4 linked regions of the Schizosaccharomyces pombe genome follow. The protein of the gene in region 1 purifies or fractionates together with the protein of each later gene. This does not show direct contact. Each region holds a gene or a part of one and is shown on either strand. Other genes may lie near its edges. The genes, in order: cut20, apc11, cut4 and nuc2.

Region 1 (5,117 bases):
TCCATAATTGAATTTATTAAAAACTCCTTGCAAAACCTATGTGAAAGCTGCGGACATGCAATTTCTTGTTCCAGATCGCAATCCATTTTTTCATATTCCTCGCAAATTCCTGATTCCTCTGGAGACAGTACAGATCAGGAATTGCCTCAGTCAATTCCAGCAACAGAATCCGAAACAAGTGATGACTCAAGTTTTTCTTATAAACGCTCACCATGTAAAAGAAAGCTCGTAGAAGCTACTGCTCAACCAGCAATATCCACTAGTGTTGCAGAAGGAGCGTCATTAGCACAAGTATCCAAACCTTTGCCAGAGCGTTTGCAAAAGGATTCTATGAGACGAAGTAGCCCATTAAACGAAAAAGTTACGGCCTCTTCCGAAAGAATGAAGAAAAAGCTTGCCCTATTCGCTTCTAGTACTGATACTTCTATGCAGAAAACAATAGACTCTAGTTTCCCACTAAAGCAACCCATCAATAAACCTAGCTCGAATCCTAACAATTTGTTACTAAATGATCCAAGTCCAGCATCAACACCTGTTGCTAAAACAATTAATTTAAACGAGATTGAGTCGGTACACAACGCAGAATCAGTTTCCACACTCTCGAGCATTCCTCGTACTGAGCAAACCAGTGTTGCGAACAGAATTCCGTCAAAAACTGCAGCGCTACAAAAGCTCAAATTTTTTCAATCTAGGCCCTTGGATGGTTTAAACAAGTTTAGTAAAAAAATAAATATATCTTTGAGTGGAGTGCAAAAAGATATTGTTCGAAGCGATGCCTTACTGAAATTTTCGAACAAGATTGGCGTGGTGCATGATATTTCAGATGAAAATCAGGAAGATCATTTGAATCTAACTGTACATAAAGCCGATTTTTTAAGAATGAGGGTTGTTGGTCAATTCAATAGAGGATTCATAGTGGTTGTTCATGGAAACAATTTGTTTATAATTGATCAACATGCCAGCGATGAAAAGTTCAACTATGAACATCTCAAAAGTAATTTAGTTATCAACAGCCAAGACTTAGTCCTTCCAAAAAGACTGGATTTAGCTGCTACAGAGGAAACTGTTTTAATTGACCATATAGATTTAATTCGAAGAAAAGGATTCGGCGTTGCTATAGATTTAAATCAGCGAGTTGGTAATCGCTGCACTCTTCTTTCAGTTCCCACGAGTAAGAATGTCATTTTTGACACTAGTGGTAAGTTTATTAACGAAGATCTTGACCTTTAACTTCTGTAGATTTACTAGAGATCATCAGTGTGTTGTCTGAGCACCCACAGATAGACCCATTTAGTAGTAGGCTTGAGCGAATGCTTGCTTCAAAGGCTTGTAGAAGCAGTGTCATGATTGGTAGGGCTCTAACTATATCCGAAATGAATACAATAGTTAGGCATCTTGCTGAGTTGAGCAAGCCTTGGAATTGCCCTCATGGAAGGCCAACTATGAGGCATCTCCTTCGATTAAAAGATATATAATGCGTAAAAGAAAGACTTTTTTAACGATTCTAGAATTTCAGCTATTGAATTAATGAATAATATTGGTTTATTTACAATGTATTTAAAACATAGCAATCAGCAATTATTAAAAGTGAATCTCTTATTGCCAAACTCAATTGAAATTTTTATCATTAAAGAATTATTTTAAGCGAACTTGAACCATGAGGAAATGATTTTTCTTTAGATGTAAATAAACATCGTACTAACGAGGTATGCACAGTTGGATAATCGCTTTCTTAATGTTTTGTATCCCTACAACTTTCATCAACTTCAGTTTTGCAATATCAGTCTTACTTCCTAATAAACCATCTATGCTAGCAAATTTAAAAAGGTTGTATGATAATTGTTGAAACTATCCATTCACTAGATATTTTATATACCTGAACAGGCTTTTATTGACTTGCTGTACTACAATAAACAAACTTCTACGAATCACCAAAATCATCCAGTCTTATCCAAATGGTGTCAAAATCTTTCAAATACCCTAAAAAGCATAAATTTGAATGGATTAATGAAACTAATAGAGTTGAAAGGGTTGGAAGTGGCCTTAAACGAGTAATCTTATGCCCTTCTATGGAACTCATTGCGATATTAACGTGTTCAAATCATTTGATTTGCTGTAGAAGTAACAGTCAAAGAATTTGGGATGTCGATTTTCATGATCTCGAGGCTACTGAATTGTGTTGGAATCACGATGGTACGTGGCTCGACTGGAAAACTTTTTTTGTATCATTAACATAAATAGGGAATTTAATAGTTGTTGGATTTAAAAATGGAGAGCTTAAAATTATTGATTCCTCCACAGGACATCTGGTTGAGCAAAGGCCAGCTTCCAGAGATTTAGCGGTTCTAATGATAACATGGGCCATGCAAGAAACGATAGTAAATGAAAAACGCAATGATTTTTTATTTGATGCCACTGCATATATGCCTTTACTTGGTACACTTCCTAGTTCGGCAAAAGAGTAAGTAGTAACACAAAGCGACTTGTCTCTTACATTTTTTAGGGAACGTATATTTTCTTCAAAAGCAATCGCACAATTTTTTGAGCCGAGGAAACGAGAGGGTGAAAATAACAAAAAAGTTGAGCTCTTAAGTATTTTGGATGAACGTGGAATTAGATACATAAAGTGCGTATCAAAAACCCCTTATTTATTAGCATCTTTCTAAAAGAAGTTTTTTTATCGATCGATACAAATTAGAAGTACTAACTATTCATAGTATGTTTTCGTCTTACAAAATCGGAGAAAGCGATTCTTTGAAATCAGCCTTGAACTTGGTATTATACCCATGTTATTAAATGTCTTGCTCACACAAATTATAGGGGGTTCCCATTTCACACAGCATAACCAACGACTTAGCATATCATGTTCTTATTTGTAAAGGAGGAACGAATATTTCTTTGAAAACACTTTATATGCCATTACTTAAAAATGATTTGGGAAGTATTGTGGATATTGCAACAATGTCTACACGTATGCAACATTTGGTAAGATATCTTGAGGAGGTATTGAATGCTATGTATGAAGAATTTGACAATGTCTTCAAATCAGAAGCTAGCTTTATTAAAACCTTTGATGCTTTAGTGTCCAAGTACAGTGACACAACTTTCTTTTCTTTACAACTAGAGTTATATCAATTTATAATGAACGGTATACCCAGCGACTTACTCAAAGAATGGATCAACGAAAGAGTCGGTGATCGAGTACTAAAAAATTGGGAACGGGCGATGGTGAATTCGTACACGTCCTTAATCATTTTCTGTCAGGAATTCGTAATACCTGCTTGTGAAAGGTTAACTGTATTATTATCTTCTGCCAGAGGAAAGTCAATATGGGGCCATATGAAGGGAAACACATTACTAGATGCTAAATTGGTGGAAGATTGTCTAGCAACTTTGGGTTATTTACAGAATAATGTTTTTTCGTTTCTCAATTGCCTTTTTGAGGAAAAAAAGTATATGAAGCACTTTATTTCATGGTTGAATTACGCTATCGTCGAGTTTAATACTTCTGAACCATCTTCTATTCCACCGCAAGAGATTATTGAACATATTAATGAAACCGTAATTTATATTCGTCATTCTTTATTCCGCTCGAAACTAACAAGTTACTTTATGGGCACAAAACCCCTTCAGCTAAGAGATCCTGATTATTATTCTCTCAAGGATTTTGCAAATCAAGACGACAGTAATTCTGTTGATGATTTCGTATCATTCAAAACCTTGAAAGAATCTTTAAGAGACTCATTCAACGTCATTTTTAGCTACCCTTCTTTAACTTGTCAAAAGCAATGGTTAAAAACCGGAGACCTTGTTTTGTTTGAAGGGACTGATTGGAATGTATCATCTCTTATACCAAAATCCTGTAATGAAAAAAACCAATTATTTTCATTATTCTTTCGAAAGGATACTCCGAATATATTCTTAATAATTTCCCAACTTATGGAAAATACTATGTTGCCTGTATCTGGATGCCACTTTGGCTTGGATTATGCAGAATTACTAGGAAGCAGTCTGTTGGATTTCCAGCCCGCAACTGTTTTAGACATGAAGCTTTTAAACGGAAGTAGTATTTTAATACTTGGAAAACTAAAGGAGAAGTGCTTCTTATGTGAAATTTGCTTAGCAGACGTTCCCTTAACCTTTTTTGAGCACCAGCAAAAAAACAGTTACCTTGATGCTATCAGTCATCTTCCTTTCATTCCACTAAACAGTTGCCTATGGCTGCATGAATTTGAGAAGGATTTCCTTCCTTCAACACTCGAATATGCCCTTTCTGAGAATAGCGATTACGGAGTCCTTATTTCAAGGGAATCTTCGAGATATCGTTTATTCTCTTTTTAATGAGCTTATGTTTAATGGTCGTAATGTTTTTTTTTTCTTGTTTTTGAAGAGCAAGTTACATTTTTTGTAGCGGTCTTTTAAATTTTCTTTTCTTTTTTTTAATTCTTTAATATAATTTAAAAGCAGAAAATTTATACAATATTTTCAATTGCAATAACTTCATTTAGAAAAGTCAACATATAACGAAGTTTTTTACCTTCTGCTATAAGTTTCCTTGATACACTGACTTCTTCTCTCAGCGAGGATCGTGTTTCAGCTAAAGTATAGAGATGGACACCTTCCCTTCTCTGTTTCTATATTCCTTAACAATACAGAATAGTAATTATGTTCAAAGTTCGTGTGCCGCGTCCTTGTCTGGTAAAAAGGCACAGGAGATAGTAATTGCTACAGAATCAAGGTTGCTTATATATAAAGTTGATGCAACTGATGGGAGAATGAATTGTATTTTAAATCAAAATTGTTTTGGTATTATTCGAAATGTTGCTCCTTTGAGATTAACTGGTTTTAAACGCGATTATCTCGTAGTCACGTCGGATTCAGGACGAATAACCATTTTGGAATATAACGTTGAAAAAAATAAATTAGTGCCAATATACCAGGAAACTTTTGGAAAATCAGGAATTCGAAGAGTTGTTCCTGGTGAATACTTAGCCATAGATGCGAAGGGGAGGGCCGCTATGATTGCATCTGTGGAGAAAAATAAGCTGGTTTACGTACTAAATCGAGATTCAGAGGCTAACCTAACAATATCTTCACCACTTGAAGCTCATAAAGCT
Region 2 (3,611 bases), 2.4 Mb from region 1:
AATTGATTGCATATAAAATAATATCTTTTACGAAAATGGAACATTAAGGTGGAAAGAAAAAAGCAAATCTTGCTATTGAAGTTTTCTGAATACCAGCGAGTTATTGATAGTATTATAACTACAATGAGAAGCCATGTAACTGAATTGGAACACGTATATTCATTCGGGTTCAACAGGAATCTTTCTATTGCCTTGAACATTCAAGGTCAGAAACACAATCCTTGATGGATAAATCATATAAAAATATATAATCAACTGTATTAACTTACATAGTCTAATATAGCGTAATGGAAGGTTGACAATAAATAACATATAACGAAATACGTTGTGCAGAATTTGCTAATTCATTTTGAATACCATCGTACTTACTTAAAAAGATACTCTGTAGAATATAGTGTTTTGTCATTCTTACTAACGAACGGTATTTAATGACTTTTGGAAGACATGTTTAATGCCAAACACTTTTTCAATTTAGGATTGGGCTTTCAATGGCTACAAAAGAGAGGTATTGGATCGTTAAAACGGCCTTATAACTTTCCAAAGCCAGTACCAGGTCCAAAGCACAAAGATGTGTTATCATTATTCGAAAAAAAGTGCCGTTCAGTATTGGATGAGCAATCTGAGCGATTCAAAATGTTTCATCGCTCGCAGCCAAATCGAGTAAGACCAGGCGCGGTTTTACTGGTTGAAAGCTACTCAAAATACCCATCAAAAGATTCAGTCAACAGATTTGCTGGTTATCTACTGCGAATTCGGCATCGTGGACCAAAAAGTTCAATCCTGTTACGAAACGTGGTAATGGGTGTTGGAGTCGAATATTTGTTACCAATTTACTCTCCACAAATTAAACGTATTGTTGTCCTCAAAGAAAATGGTCTATCTAAAAGACCTAGAAGAGCATACTTAAGTTACTTGCGTCAACCTCGCTTTCGTCTTCCACCTGTTGAATCACTGGTGCGAAAATACATTGAACAAAATCAACATAAACCTTGACACAATCATTGCAACTTCTGCAAGTAAATTTCTTTTTTTTTGCGAATCTTTCATGATTTTATTCAAGAAGCGCTGTATGATTTATAGTTCGTTTACACTCTATGTTTCCCTATCTACTTGTCTTTTTCTACAGGCTATTGCATTTAGAACTGCATTATAAGAGGCGTTGGTTGGTTTTCTGGAACAGATTTAGAGATTTGGATGTATATTTCGGCTTTAGCCTGTTTGTCAAAACACGTATTATCGATTCCATGAAACGGCAATGAATCACCTCCTTTGAGCCTTTTACCCCCTTCTCATTCTTTGAATCGACAAGTCACATGTCATTGCCATTAATTTTCCCAGATGAATTTGTGAGGCACTATGAATCAAAACCTCTACTTTTTTCTTATAAATTTGAGCTGTATGTAGGCTTGCCTCTTCATAATTCTGCGCTTTGATTATTTTGAATAATATTTGAAATTATTCATGTAAAAAAGTATAAAACTTGAGCTCAACAATATGTTATAAGCTAAAGAAGCAAAGTATCATAAATATAAAAATTTTGTTAGCATGTCGAATGTAGCCGGCTTGTTACAGTCCAATGAAAATTAGTTTTAGTTAGAAATTTTAAACTTTCAGAAAACGAAAAGATGTATAGCTAAAGCCAAATATCAACTGTAAATCTACTAACTCTTCTCTTCTTACGACATTTTGTTTTTCGCCTGAATTGTTTTCTTAATACCGTGGTAGAACGTAAAACATTAGCTAGCAAAAAACACTAATGTTTATTTAATTAGATCTCAAATACAATATACAAAGACTATGAAGGTGAAAATACTGAGTAAGCGAATATTTTGGAAATAAAATTGTTTTCTAACCACTAGGATACCATGCAATTGCTAACTGGACGTGGGATACCCCAAAAGACGACGTTTGTGGTATATGTCGTGTTCCATTCGATGGATGCTGCCCTCAATGCACAAGTCCTGGAGACAATTGCCCCATAGGTAAGAATATGTTTGTATTTATTTCCTGAATATGCTCTGCGGAGGCTTACTTGTATACTTTGCATCCTAAGGGGGTATCAGCATGAAAATTTGTTGCGCAATTGGGTTGGTTGTGTTCAAATAATCTTTAATCTAATATTCATACTTTGTTTTTGTTAAAAAGAGTTTATCATGGGCATCAGCTTTCACAGAATTAATTAAAGGCTAACTACGCTAGTTTGGGGGAAATGCAAGCATATATTTCATGCTCACTGTATTCAAAACTGGTTAGCTACTAGCGGTTCTCAAGGTCAATGCCCGATGGACCGTCAAACTTTTGTGGTAGCAGATTCTACGAATGAAAAGTCTGAAACACAATAAATACGATTGACGTATCGAATAAGACTTCCAAAGAATCCAACTCAATAGTCACGATTATTATTATTACAAACGAGATAAAGTTGGAAGCATTTTTTCGTTAACGAATAATTATTACTGTAACAATATAGAAGCATGCAGTTTCAGGAAAACCCTACTACACCATATCAAGCAAAAACTATTCAAAAAAATCTATTTTCAACGGTTCATTATTCATAATGCTATTCAAAAAGTAGCAACGTTTGATGAACATTAGTCAATTGTTATCTCATAAAACTCATCATTATTGTCGACGTGGATTATCTTTATTCGACCAGATGCGTACTGTATTATCATCACCGGCGGACGCAAATTGATATGGGTCGACTGGATTATATGCAACATAATTCACGCATTTAACATGTCCTGATAATGTTGCCAGTAGCTTTCCACTTTCTCTATGCCAGATACGTATTTTGTCATCTTCACTTCCACTTAAAACAAAAGTATCATCTTTTCCTCCAAAGCAAGATCCGATTAAAAAATTCCCCAGCTTATGACCCATGTATTGACGAACAATTCGGTTTTCTTCAAGATCCCAAAGAAAAGTAGTGTGTGGTTCTAAGTTTGTCAACGCATATTTCGAGTCTTTTGATAAACAAATTGAAGTTACTTTCGACTGCAACGAAATTTTTTTTATACATTCTCTGGTTTCAACGGAATAAATAGCTATATGTTTATCTTCGGCGTTAATTAATTGTTCAAAACCTACAATGTACAATTTAGTTCCATCAGAAGTAAGAGCCATATCGTAAATATTGACATCTTCCCATTTGTAGAGTATTTCGCCATTTAATGACCAATGAGTTATATGACAATCTGGTGATCCCGTAATAAATGATAAACCATCAGGTAACCAACAACAACAACTAACAGAAAACCCATGCTTATAGTCACGTAACTTTTCCCCCGTAAATGCGTCCCATAAAATTACAGACTTGTCACATGAACAACTGAGAAGATAACGATCGTCTGGTGACCATCTGATGTATGCTACCGTATCAATATGGCCTATTAGACGAAAAACTCTTTTCAAATTGACAACGTCAAATATAATGGCAGTCTTATCTTTTGATGCTGAAGCCAAGTATCTTCCATTATGGGAATAGCTAATTTGCCATACTTCATCAGAGTGATCGTGAAAAACATGATATTCCTTTGTAGGTAATTCGCTTGGATCTGCCTTGTAGTCAGATAGAAAAGAGAAGTTTTTCAACACATTATGATAAACCT
Region 3 (7,287 bases), on another chromosome or scaffold:
GTTCTATAACTTCTGGTGGATCAATCGCAATCATTTTTCATTTCAAAGAATTACTAATTGGGTCTATAGAAAAATCATTTCTTTTTATTTCAGACTATTTTGTTTGTCATTGAATTTCCTACATTAGCTGCTCTGGTTTATTGTATCATTAACTTTTAACATAAAGAACCTCAACAAGTCATGCTAATTTGACATTATAGAATGTAAGTATATTAAATTATGATAAACTATTTATTGCAAAAGCAGGATGGATAGTACATTATAGAGCATAGAAATTGTTGCAAAGAAATCCACAGTTTATTATCTAAGATATTTACTTTATGGAGATATTAATTTAGAAGGCTCATAGCCGTATTTTTTTGCATTATAAGCCATTTGTTTCACTGGCTTTATATAGTCAATATGCGACTCATAAATTCATTAGAGTTATTCTCTCGCGAAAAATCATTGAAATGTGGGGCCTGATCATTGTTGTAGATTTAAGCAACATATAACCGAAGCTAATGAGAACAAATTGAAGCAGAGTTTTTCTGAATACCAAATACATTTTTGATACTCCAGGGTTGCAGAGTTTTTGCCTTCAGAGCCCATTGCAAGTATGTTCGGTTTCTAAGGGTTTCCTCACTTCATACATAGTTAGATTTGTTCCTCAATTCTTAATTTTTCGCTGACTTCGTGACGCTTTCTACTATAATCATGTTACAAACTAATATATAAACAAACTAGTGACCTTTAGGATTAAACGAGAGGCAAGCACAAACCACTTGTTCCATTCAAGTTACTGCAATATTTTTATGGAAGATATTAGAAAATTAGCAGAATACTCACCAAGTTTGTCACAATGCAAGACGATGGCAAAAGATCCTTAAGCTCATTCCATATTAAAAATGTCGTAAGTTAGTAAAATTTAAAAATAGTCAAGTCCTTCATTTTGAAGTTTTTTGTTTATTACTCGACCAAAAACAAATTGCCTTGCAATCGTTACCTTTTATGCTTTAGCACCTATAATTATCCTGTAGACAGAAATTACCTTTTATATAGCAAACATTATTATACCCAAATAATATTTAACATTGAAATCTTCATAAATAAATGAATAAAGTATGGTAAAATATTATTTACATCCCCCTATACAGCTATATGGCTCAACCTTTATACAGTAATAAAATGTCTAAGTAGTCCTGCATGTTATGATAGAAACACCCAAAGCCTTCACTCTAAACTTCAAGGAATTTACTGCTTGCTTTTGTCGTACACACTCCTATAGTAAGGCATCTTATATTCCATATGGATCCTCGACACTGGGGATGTAAGTACTGACTTGTAGTTTGAAATGGCAAGTCGGTCGTCTATATCGACATGATTTTATAACTAAATTCCTGTAAAAAAGAGAAACAAAAATGATATTTTAATGCATAAAACAATTTCCCGTTAGAGTATTTTTAATTATCAGTATTCCAAAAAAAAGATTTCTAGTCTTCAAATAAACCAATGCGTGATAAATACTGGAATTGGGGAATATAAAGATCCAAGTTAAATTTAATTGATTTTGTAAAAGCACTAAGTTCTGTAGGTTGACTTTTTAATTGTCTAGCTAACGTAAGTTTGGTAAGAGATGCTGGTTTGTTTACACTAGATATACGCTGACACTCAGATTTCACCTACAACTTCATGCTAAAAAGGAAATGCGAAATTGTAAACGGAACTGAGTTATTGATTATCGTTACTAGATGCTGAAATGCTAGAATTAAAAACAAATGTTATTCAAGACCCTGAATTAAAGGATTCATTAGATTTGCAAGAGAATGATCGGGTTGAAATCATTGGAGATGCTGTGCATTATATTGTGAATGACCATTTAAATCGTGTATTTAATTATACCGTAGATCAACAAAAGATACATGCTGCCCTTATTACTACATTTGCATCTGGAAAAAAGGCAATTGTTGTGATTCTGGACGACATTGGATATGTATACTATGTGGGCGACAATAATAATGATTCTTATATTATAAACGTTCCTTTTTCAACAGAAAGCGCATGGAGTTCACCAAGTGGACTATATCTTCAGCGTCATCGTTCGAGCGATGAGAATCTGAATACTGACTTGCCTCATATTTTTTGTCTAAACGATCCTTTAGATGAACTTACGTTAATAAAATTTGACGGAAAAAAAATACTATCTCTGTTTGATTCAATCGTTTATGTCGTGGGAGAGATCGTCGTAACACATAATAAAAAAGAAAAAAAATTGAGTTTTTGGAGGAGTCGCTTTATTGATCCAGAGTCAGACCAGTCAATAAAAAGCTCACGTAACAGAAGAAGGGAAAGCTCTTTTTCTCGTGAAAAGAATCCTGACTTAACTCGCTCTGATTCTATCCATTATACCGCCAATACTCGTCTTTCTGAAAAATTCGAGGAACAAGGACTCGCTTATTCGACCATATTTTCTCACATAGAGTCTTTTCCTATCACCGGAAGTACTTCGTTTGATTCAATCCTTGGAAATGGTGTTTTGGTCATCACCACTTTAGTGAAAGAGCTTGAAAAAGGCTACATGATGTTGTTTCGCCTTGTTCGTGACAGATCTCCTTACTTCTTAGATTCGCTTCAACTACATGCAATAAATTTGAGTGCTATTAAATCTAAGCATTTGCAAAAAATTGTTGTTCTGTCTTCAAAGGGGAAGGTGAGTCTCGAGTCTCCAATGTCGCCATCTTTGCCTATTGAGGGTACCTTTCGTTCATTTCGTGTGCATGGTGCCACACTTTACTTAGAGGACACCGATGGAGTGCAGAGGTATATATCTCTAGATAACAGAGCATCCAATAGCTTGGTAAAATGGTGTTTAAGTGTTATTCGTTATGTTTTGCCCTTGCGTGAATATGAAATTTTTTATACTGGACATCTTTACGCGCTTTTTGCTTTTAAGCTTAGCCATGATGAGGCTTTCATATCTTCAATACTCGCCTGTTTCACTTTCTTTTCTCGAGATAAAGTTCATGTTGAACCAATTGAAGATTGCAATGAAGCTTACAGTCTGTCCTCTAAGTTTCATTTTAAAAAAGAAATACTTATTGCTTCTCAGCTCTCATCTCATCTTGATTACTCAACATTCAAAAATTACTTGATGCCCTTAGCTATTACCTTACATTTTATATCTGAAGAATTGCGGTTGGATTCGGTTGTAAAGCCTCGTAAAGATCAGCTTGTAGCTTTATTACTTCAAATCACCACGTGGTTGAAGTGGCCACGGTATTGCGAGTATTATAACTTTGATATCGCTGAAACATTTCTATCTATACCCTTATCGATTCAAGTTGATGTTGAGGAACCTGTTGGTCCAACATCGATTTTACAGTGGATTATTGAATGTTTAAGGTCGCAATCTACAGTACCTTTTTATGGCTTGGAAAGTTATGGGCTACCACATTCTTGCTCTACTATGTTTCCCCAAACCCTTTCTTTAATGCAGTTACTCGATTGCTTGCTAAATCCTAATATGACCCTTCAAAACTTAGTTGAAGAAATGGTACGGTTAGGAATTTCAAGAAAGAGGTGTGAAAGATACCCATTTGGAATTTTATGCATTATTTTTACAGTACTCGAGATTGCCGCTGAAGAGTATTCTCCGAATTGGGAAAGCGAAGAGCTTCGATTAGTCAATCGCCTTGACGTTGATTCATTCTTACATCCAAAGACACCTAAATGGGTTTTTAATAAGCAGGATCAAGAAGTCAAAGAAATAAAAGCACTCACTAGTACAGTTACCGATTCTACACTTGTTGACACGCAGTCGTTTCATCCTTATAAGGTTGTAACGGATATGATTTTTAGAGAGGATCGACGACTGGCAGAAGTGAATAAACTTTTAAATTATTCAAGTCAAATCACCATAATGACTGAACACTTTGATGTCGACTTGAGTTCAGTACCAATGCAACAAAAAGTTGCTCAATGCATTTGCGTTAGAACATTGTCCGTGCCAATTGGAGCGGGTATGCTTACGTATGGTAGTAAAAATCCTTTACCTACGGAAAAGGTCACTCCACGATTATTTAATTTTACATTGCACTTGCATCCTGGAACTTTAATTATACAACCTAATAAAGAGTTCGTAACACAGGAATTAACCGAGTGGCCAGAGTTTAATGTTGGCGTTGCATTAGGATTATCGATATCTAAGTTTTCAAAGGAAATAAACACTAGTTGGATTATGTTCAATCGACCTGAAACTTTGACTGCTTACCATGCGGGATTTCTTTTTGGTCTAGGGCTAAACGGTCATTTAAAGGCCCTTGCTACCTGGCATTCTTTTATTTATCTTACTAGCAAGCATGATACAACCAGTATAGGCCTTTTACTTGGACTTGCATCCTCGTATTTGGGGAGTATGGATGCAAAGGTTACAAAATTGCTAAGTGTGCACATTTCAGCATTACTGCCAGTTGGATCTAATGAATTGAATATTTCACCATTAACTCAGACTGCAGGAATTCTAGGAATTGGTTTATTATTTCATGATTCGTGTCATAGACGCATGTCTGAAGTGACCATGGAAGAGATTTTGGCTTCTAATGAAAGCGAACTAAAGAATGAAGGCTATAAGTTAGCTGCTGGATTTTCTCTTGGTTTAATTAATTTAGGGAGAGGATCTAATCTTCCAGGCATGTCTGATTTAAAACTCGTTTCAAGGCTACAAGTGGGAATATCTAGTCAGGCTACATTTCAGTCTTTAGAAGCCGGTTCTCCCGGGGCCATTATGGCTTTGACTATGATATATATGAAGACTAATGATTTGGAAGTTGCGAAAAAAATTGATATTCCTAAATCGCGATATCTTCTTGATTTCTATCGTCCAGATCTAATACTTTTGCGAGTTGCCGGTAAAAACTTAATTATGTGGGATGAAGTCAAAGCAGATTATGAATGGGTGAAATATCAAATTCCTGATATAATGCTCTCACAATTTGATTTACAGGAAAAAAAGGTTCTCTCTTCTGACGACTTGCTGCTTTATAATGTCTTAGCAGGGATTTGTTTTTCTTTAGGTTTAAGGTTTGCTGGAACGGGTAATCCGAAAGCCAAGGAAATTCTCATCAACTTTTTAGATAGCTTCATTCGGTTGTGTCATCTGCCTGCTAAAACACACGATGAAAGAGTAACTGCAGTGACTGTAATTCGCTGTACACAAATTGTCGCTTTGTCTTCTTCTTGTGTTATGGCGGGTTATTGTGATCTAGATGTTTTGAGAAGGTTAAGAGTACTACATGGGAGAATGGAGCCTGTGAACTACGGGGCTCAAATGGCTACTCATATGGCGCTCGGAATTCTTTCGCTAGGTGGAGGAAGGTATAGTTTGTCTCGCAGTAATTTAGCAATCGCGGCTTTGTTAATATCATTTTATCCGCAATTTCCCAGGACTACTCAAGATAATCGTGCACATTTGCAAGCTGCTCGAAATTTGTGGGCTTTAGCTGTGGAAGAACGTTGTATTATCCCGAGAAATCAAGATACCAAACAGCCATGCATAGTGCCATTAAATGTTGTTCAAAAAAGCGGCGCAGTTCAAAAACTAGAAGCGCCTATACTTTTGCCGCCGTACGATAGCATTAGTTCAGTGTCGACGTTGGGTGATAAGTATTGGAATTTAAAAATTGATTTGGACAATAACAGTGATTACCGTGAACTATTAAGGGAATCACAAACACTGACACTGATGCCTTATGACCGAACAAGTTCAAAAGAAGAGCCACTTAATCTATTCCCTAAGCTTAAAGATACCTCAAGCCCACTTTGGAACTTGGTAAAAACAAGCAGGTTGTTCCAAAGCTCGAATAGCCCCTTAAACGTTGCATCGTTACAAGAATCAAATAATAAAACTTCTCTAGGCGTTAAATTACTCCTGTCTATGGACTTTGATAATTTAACTAGAGACCGTTTATTAAGTTTGCAAATACTGTTACAATTTTTTGAGTCTTGTTGGACTGGTGTGCTCTTGAATAAGTTTCACTCCCGTCAATATCTTTTCCTTTCTCGTGATTTGGTAGAAGATTTGAGTTTGAGAGTATGGGAGTATGTGTATTCTCATAATCATAATGAAGAATCTGTATAATTATGAACTACGTTTATTAATTATATGATATGCTAATGGGCTGAATGGTTTCCAAAAATCTTTTCCATCATATCAATCCTTCAAAAGGAAAATTGAAGTTTAAAAAAATAGAACCCCTTAAAATTAACGACTTGTATAAATACCTTAATGTCTCAATTAATATACAAGGTGGCATATCCAATGCAACACTTTTTTCACGATCATGATTAATAGCTATCTTCAAATAATGGTTTGTTAAAAGGAAATCGAAGTTAATAATAAATTGTTAATTGGAATACTGATGCTCAAACTATTTCACTGGGCAAAGTAAAAAGAATATTATTGCGACAACTACTAAGCACCCATGGTTCTTCAAGGGGTAATACCGCCTGTCTCAAGGCGCCGTTGAAAATAGATTAGCTTTTTTATCCTTTTTCTATATCTTTTCCCTCCTTTCGTTAATTAATTGATTTAAGCATGACACTTCGAGCTACTAACTAACACTATATCGTTGTATGCTGTTTACATAAGTTCTTGATGTTCGAATCTATGACTTTCGAGTAACGGTTCCAAATATTATAATTTAATGAATTACACCCGATAATTAATACACTGTATTAAACCATCTAAATCCACCTGACGAATTCAATCTTAAAATTTAAATAGAAGTCTTTAAATCCGACATGCACTGAGATGCTGAAGTTTTGTAACGATCTACATTAAATTCCCCTATTATAATTTACGTACGATTATTCGCCTCATTAAAAATTCCTTCGTTTTTGAGGGGTAGTAAGGGCATGACTTCAACCTTGCATCCTATGACACAACACTTCTTTCGTTAGCAAAACACAAATTGAAGCTTGCGAACGCATAGGAAGTGTGAATAGCTCGTTTCTCGAAAGCCGCTAATTCTACAAAAGCTTTCTGTATCAAAAAGACTTGTAGTTTTACTTAATACACCTTTGGTTCTGCGCTAAGAGTGAAAGGCTCAGTATTGTTGTGAAAACCGTGAATCTGTAACGTCGGTTTATGTTAATTTGTATTTTTGAACGCTTGCTATAACTATTGTTATCTATTTTTGTCTGCTATAGATTATCTTTGAAGGACTCAGAGTCGATTTAGCTTATCTTCTTATTTTTTGTCTCAGGTGTATCGAATTATCGTTCGTGTTCATTTGTACTTTTGGAATAACA
Region 4 (4,806 bases), 460 kb from region 1:
CAGACAATATCATAAACCATCCCAAAATGGGCACATATCTTAGAGACTTTTTAGCAATAACAGAATAATTAGGGCCAAAAGTCCTTCCTATAGCCAAAATATCCAATTCACTAATTAAAATTGTAAGTCAGTTATTTTTTATCATAAAGAAGTATATTTTGAGGTATGCTTACGATTGATGATTAACTACTAAGACAGCAGACTTATGTTTTCTCAAAATTTCCTCGTTTTCGATTTTAAACCGAAAGTCAAGGATTGTACTAGCCAGTCCATAATATGCCTTTGCAGTTAAATATTGTCCCATTACGGGATAACCACATAAACGTGCAACAACTGAGGCTATAACCCCATAAGCAGAACTAATAGCTAAAAATGTGTGACATGCGAAATAGCGAAAGTGATATCTAATACATTTCGGGAGAGTAAAAAATCGGTTGATTCCGCACAAACCAACAAATACTGTCACAGTAGCAAGCAGCGTGCTCTTAATAAAACCCATTTCGAATATGTACACAGTAGAGAAGAGCAAACTTTCAACAACCCTTCCTTTCGTTTTAAAGTATGGTTGGTGCGGTGATAGTAACGTTGGTGATTCGTAATAAAAATGAATGGCCTGAGGACATTTCATTAATTGCACACTTTAAACTTAAGTTATACCCACGGTGATTTTATACACAATTTTTTTTATCATTGGTTATTAATGATATCTATTATACCTTTATTTTAATATATAACTTCTAAACGAAAATCATCATTTTTAAACCTAACCAGAATGAAGACGTAAACATTCTAACTCATTAACTTATTCATTCGACAATTTTTTGGCATCCCTAAAATACAAGACATAATTTCTTAAGTTTCCAGATTCCTATAAATTTCACCTGTTTCAGTTAACAAATTTTCTTCGGGAATATCCAGATTTTCAATCGATTCCTTAATAATATGCGTAGCCTTGCCGTCTAAGTTCCATGCTATAGTGAAGTGCTTTAAGGCTAAATTTTTTTTCCGCATTTGCTTGAAAATTTTGCCGAGCAAAAAATGAACATTTGCTTCATCTGGCGCAATTGCCTTTAATTGTTCCAATTCAACGAGTGCTTTATCGTGATCATGTAATAAAATAAGCACTTTGGCTTTCTTGAACCTGGCAAGCGAAGACTTTTCATCCAGTTTACATGCCCGATCATAAAAATCAAGTGCTTTTTTGTAATCTTTGCAGCGTTCGTAAATCATACCAATACAAGTGATGAGTACAGAGTTGTTAGGATTGATCTCTGCAGCACGTTGAAAATGAAAGTCTGCTTGATCATTTCGCCCTGTTTTTAAATAAACCATTCCCAGGCCATACCATGCATTGTAATGTCGAACATTTACTCTAATTGCTTTGCGGAAAGATGTTTTCGATTTTTCGTATTCTTCGTTTGCAGAATGCTCGTGCCCTTGAAGCGTATAAGCATATTCAAAAGTTGGATCCAATTGAATAGCTCTATTAATACATTTTAATGCCTGCGAGTGTTCACGTTGAAGTGAGAAGCAATTAGCAAGAATGCACCATGATTCTGGGGAATAAGGATTAGTTTCCAAAGTTTCATGGGCAAGGTAAGATAAAGGAACAGACTTTTGCAAATGCCAAAGTGCAGTTGAAAAGACTTCCATATCTTTGACACGTGAAGGCGACAAGTCCCTTAATTTTTGAAACACTTCTTCAGATTTTTCGTAATCAACCAGTTCAAAGTAGGTTATTCCAAGCTTTGCAAGAACAAAAGGTGTATTTTGCTGTTCGATGGGCAAGCTTTGGAAACAATTTAAAGCCTCTCGTAACTTATACTGGGCGAGCAGGTAAACACCCTTACCGAATAACTTTAGTAATTCCATCAAATTATTGTCCTCTTCGCGGAAGCTTTGAGGTGTGCTCTCTCCTCTTTTAGAACTTCTCGCTTCGCGTAATTTATATGTTAAACGAGCTCCTGGTCTTAATGCTTGGGTTCTAGGTTCCACAAAGTGGGATTTTAAAGACGTATCCCTATTGTTAGAATCAGCTTTTTGAGCATCATTGAAAGCCAAAAGGTTTTTGCTAGTCTGAGATTGAGATTGTAATTTCAAGCTTTGATGTCGTTCCTTCTCACTTCCTGGAAGCTCAGAAGCGTCAACCCTATCAAACCACTTAGTAAATGCTGAAATGGATGAGTTTGAATAACTATTTGCTATCGATTCAGAAACCGAAAACTTGTTGGAAGATGAGGAAGACTCTTTACTTTTCTTCAAAAAAGACGGTTCTGGTACCGAAGCTGTAGCATTCGTTTGAGATTTTTCAAAACCCTTCATTGCCGTAAGGTAGGGTGGAATAACAAATACATTATTAGCATCGAGTGGCACGCCTATTCAGCAAAATATATTAGCACAATTATAGAAATAAACGAAAATAAGTATTTTTTTTTGACAAAAGTGAATTTACTAATTCACAACAAAACATCTGTCACATACCTATTGCAGTTAAATTCTGGAAAGCAGAGAAATTATATGGGTTAATGGAGACAGCTTCTACAAAACAATCTGTAGCTTTTTTGAGGAACCCTGCCTTTTTATACATAGTACCCAAAACATCAAGCATGCAAGAGGCATCTGGATGTCCACGACTGCTAATTGAGTCATTTACTAGATAACTTAGTTAGAGGTTTCGCGAAATAAATCACCACATACTGTTTGGCTGAATGGAGCGCCAATTCGATCGACAGGCCTCCACAGCACTTATTCCTTGTTTATATCTGCCTAAAATAAGGCTGGTCCTTGCAAATAAGTATGTGCAAGGAACATGACTAATTACTCTATCTAATAAGTCGTATACAATATTGTAATCGAGGTTTAGGAAATGCGAATATGCCAAAAGATACAAACTCTCGTTTGAATCTTCAATTGCATGTAAACGTTCTGAATAAAAAATTGAATTATCATAATTCTGATTATCAATGCAATACCATATTAAACATTTCAATCGATCTGTCATGACAAATCTATTAAAGTTTTGGAAACGATGGGAGTTAATGTCAACAAAAACATGTGGGTACAAACAGGTGGTTGTTATTGTTTGAGCTCCATCGTTAAGATATGTTAAATCTTATAAAGCAATGTAGCATTTTAGTAAAAAAAACATATAAACAAAAATAGGTAAATCATCTGGATGGTGTATAGAGTTGTGTAAACTCTGATAAATCCAAAAAGAGTTTGGGTAAATTATCAGAGAATAAAAAAACACTACTAATGCAACTCGATCCAAGCATTAAGGGAGACAGGCAAAGGAGGCATCACGGTCTAAAACAATGCGATGATACATGTTAATAAAAAAAAATTACAAGTCGTTCAATGTCTCCCAATTTAGATCCATTATTACGCAGTCTTGTGGAAAGGCGACACTGACGTAAAAAGTACTAGAGTGAAGTATTAGTTTATGAATTTCCAAGTCCCAAGAATATCCTGAATACACTGCAGTTGCTGCTCTTCTTAAAGACACTTCCTCGGAATTTAACAGCTCATTTAATTTATGAAATGTTACCACAATATCCAAAGGGTTTCCACTTAATCCGATACCGAGTGCTTTCAAAATCGCTTCTTTGCAAGTCCAGAGCAAAAAAAAAACATCAATACTAGAAATTGAACTTTTAATCAACTTCCATTCGCAAGGAGTAAATACACTCATGAAATCTTCCATCCATGATGCTTCAAAAGCTAACGGTTTACATTCGACGATGTCAACTCCAATATTGATCGGTCGCATTCCTGAAGGATCTGATGGAAGCCATGCTCCTACTACAATTACGATTCCCCCATAGTGGGATACATTAAAGTCAAATATAATAGGAGGACAGTGTGCTGATTGGCAATACGGTCTCCCGGCTTTTGTGACAGAAATTTGTACTTCATTTGGTGAACATTCGAGAGCCGTGGAGACTAAGTGCCTTTTAATAAGTATAGAAGCCAATGCCATTTTAGCATCCATGTCGAAATAGTACCTCTCAATTTGTTGTCGCTCAGAATCGCTCAGTTTTTTAAAACTGGGTATCCTCTAACGTATTAGAAAAATTGTTTAGATAAAACTAAAAACATACAGTTCTTTCAAAAGGCCATGCTTCTTGAGTATCTATTAATAACCTATATACTTTTTGTTTCATATATTGCTATTTAAATCGAATGAAATACTCTTCAATGAGAAACTACAATAAACAATGCCAGAATTTCCAGGAAACACAAAAACAAGAATCACTCATAAACTCGAAACCAACCAGAAGAAGAGTATAATTTCGTTAGAAGGCAATCAAGATAATTTCTACCAATAAATAGTAACATGAATTATGAAGCGTGACATTAACGCAAGTCGACAGTACTTTCCGAAAAAATATATTTTTTGTTCTACCTTGGAGAACAGCTTTTCTTTAATTTGCGAATATCTATTAACAGTCATAAAACGTGTTTATCGCAGAAGATTTAATTTCGTTAAATTTACTGATAGAACGTAAGCGGCACAATTTGAAGAGTTTGCTGCTTCGTTCTATTGCTTCTCTTGACCACCACCACTAACCCAACCACTTCAGTTGAAAATTTATTATCAACTCATCTGGAGGGTATTTTAATATTTAACGGAATACAGAACGTTACATTTGTTTGTCTTGTTCCGTTCCAATAATAATCTATAATTGGTGTTCTTTCTTTCAGTAGAAATAGGAAGAAAAGAACTCGGTTGTTGTATATAAAACAAACGAACTAATTTAAGGTTTTAATATTCGGTGGTCTCTTCAGTTTTATTACTTTGAATAA

What was found.
Region 2: the proteins of cut20 (region 1) and apc11 purify together in Schizosaccharomyces pombe (affinity purification with mass spectrometry, with the first as the bait; 4 studies listed by BioGRID). This does not show direct contact.
Region 3: the proteins of cut20 (region 1) and cut4 purify together in Schizosaccharomyces pombe (affinity purification with mass spectrometry; 5 studies listed by BioGRID, with this or other methods). This does not show direct contact.
Region 4: the proteins of cut20 (region 1) and nuc2 purify together in Schizosaccharomyces pombe (affinity purification with mass spectrometry; 6 studies listed by BioGRID, with this or other methods). This does not show direct contact.

What each region holds. Positions count from the first base shown.
Region 1 is NC_003424.3:4,041,258-4,046,374, reverse strand, and holds cut20 (anaphase-promoting complex platform subcomplex scaffold WD repeat subunit Apc4/Cut20), read left to right. Parts: upstream 1-1,750; 5' UTR 1,751-1,955; coding exon 1,956-2,193; exon of another isoform or gene 2,194-2,241; coding exon 2,242-2,461; exon of another isoform or gene 2,462-2,503; coding exon 2,504-2,626; exon of another isoform or gene 2,627-2,646; intron 2,647-2,717; coding exon 2,718-2,775; intron 2,776-2,801; exon of another isoform or gene 2,802-2,820; coding exon 2,821-4,341; 3' UTR 4,342-4,566; downstream 4,567-5,117. Other genes in the region: MutL family mismatch-repair protein Pms1, read left to right, coding at 1-1,198, 1,240-1,475; prp12 (U2 snRNP-associated protein), read left to right, coding at 4,611-5,117.
Region 2 is NC_003424.3:1,641,311-1,644,921, forward strand, and holds apc11 (anaphase-promoting complex ubiquitin -protein ligase E3 subunit Apc11), read left to right. Parts: upstream 1-1,770; 5' UTR 1,771-1,797; coding exon 1,798-1,816; intron 1,817-1,859; coding exon 1,860-1,982; intron 1,983-2,199; coding exon 2,200-2,342; 3' UTR 2,343-2,622; downstream 2,623-3,611. Other genes in the region: img1 (mitochondrial 54S ribosomal protein bL19m), read left to right, coding at 445-993; gid7 (WD repeat-containing protein), read right to left, coding at 2,623-3,611. UniProt on the Schizosaccharomyces pombe protein: Component of the anaphase-promoting complex/cyclosome (APC/C), a cell cycle-regulated E3 ubiquitin-protein ligase complex that controls progression through mitosis and the G1 phase of the cell cycle.
Region 3 is NC_003423.3:389,251-396,537, forward strand, and holds cut4 (anaphase-promoting complex platform subcomplex scaffold subunit Apc1), read left to right. Parts: upstream 1-1,659; 5' UTR 1,660-1,738; coding exon 1,739-6,115; 3' UTR 6,116-6,787; downstream 6,788-7,287. UniProt on the Schizosaccharomyces pombe protein: Component of the anaphase-promoting complex/cyclosome (APC/C), a cell cycle-regulated E3 ubiquitin-protein ligase complex that controls progression through mitosis and the G1 phase of the cell cycle.
Region 4 is NC_003424.3:4,496,327-4,501,132, reverse strand, and holds nuc2 (anaphase-promoting complex TPR lobe subcomplex subunit Apc3), read right to left. Parts: upstream 3,038-4,806; 5' UTR 3,002-3,037; coding exon 2,698-3,001; intron 2,653-2,697; coding exon 2,482-2,652; intron 2,376-2,481; coding exon 853-2,375; 3' UTR 552-852; downstream 1-551. Other genes in the region: 1-acylglycerol-3-phosphate O-acyltransferase Slc1, read right to left, coding at 1-110, 174-499; alpha-aminoadipate reductase phosphopantetheinyl transferase Lys7, read right to left, coding at 3,344-4,057, 4,101-4,163. UniProt on the Schizosaccharomyces pombe protein: Component of the anaphase-promoting complex/cyclosome (APC/C), a cell cycle-regulated E3 ubiquitin-protein ligase complex that controls progression through mitosis and the G1 phase of the cell cycle.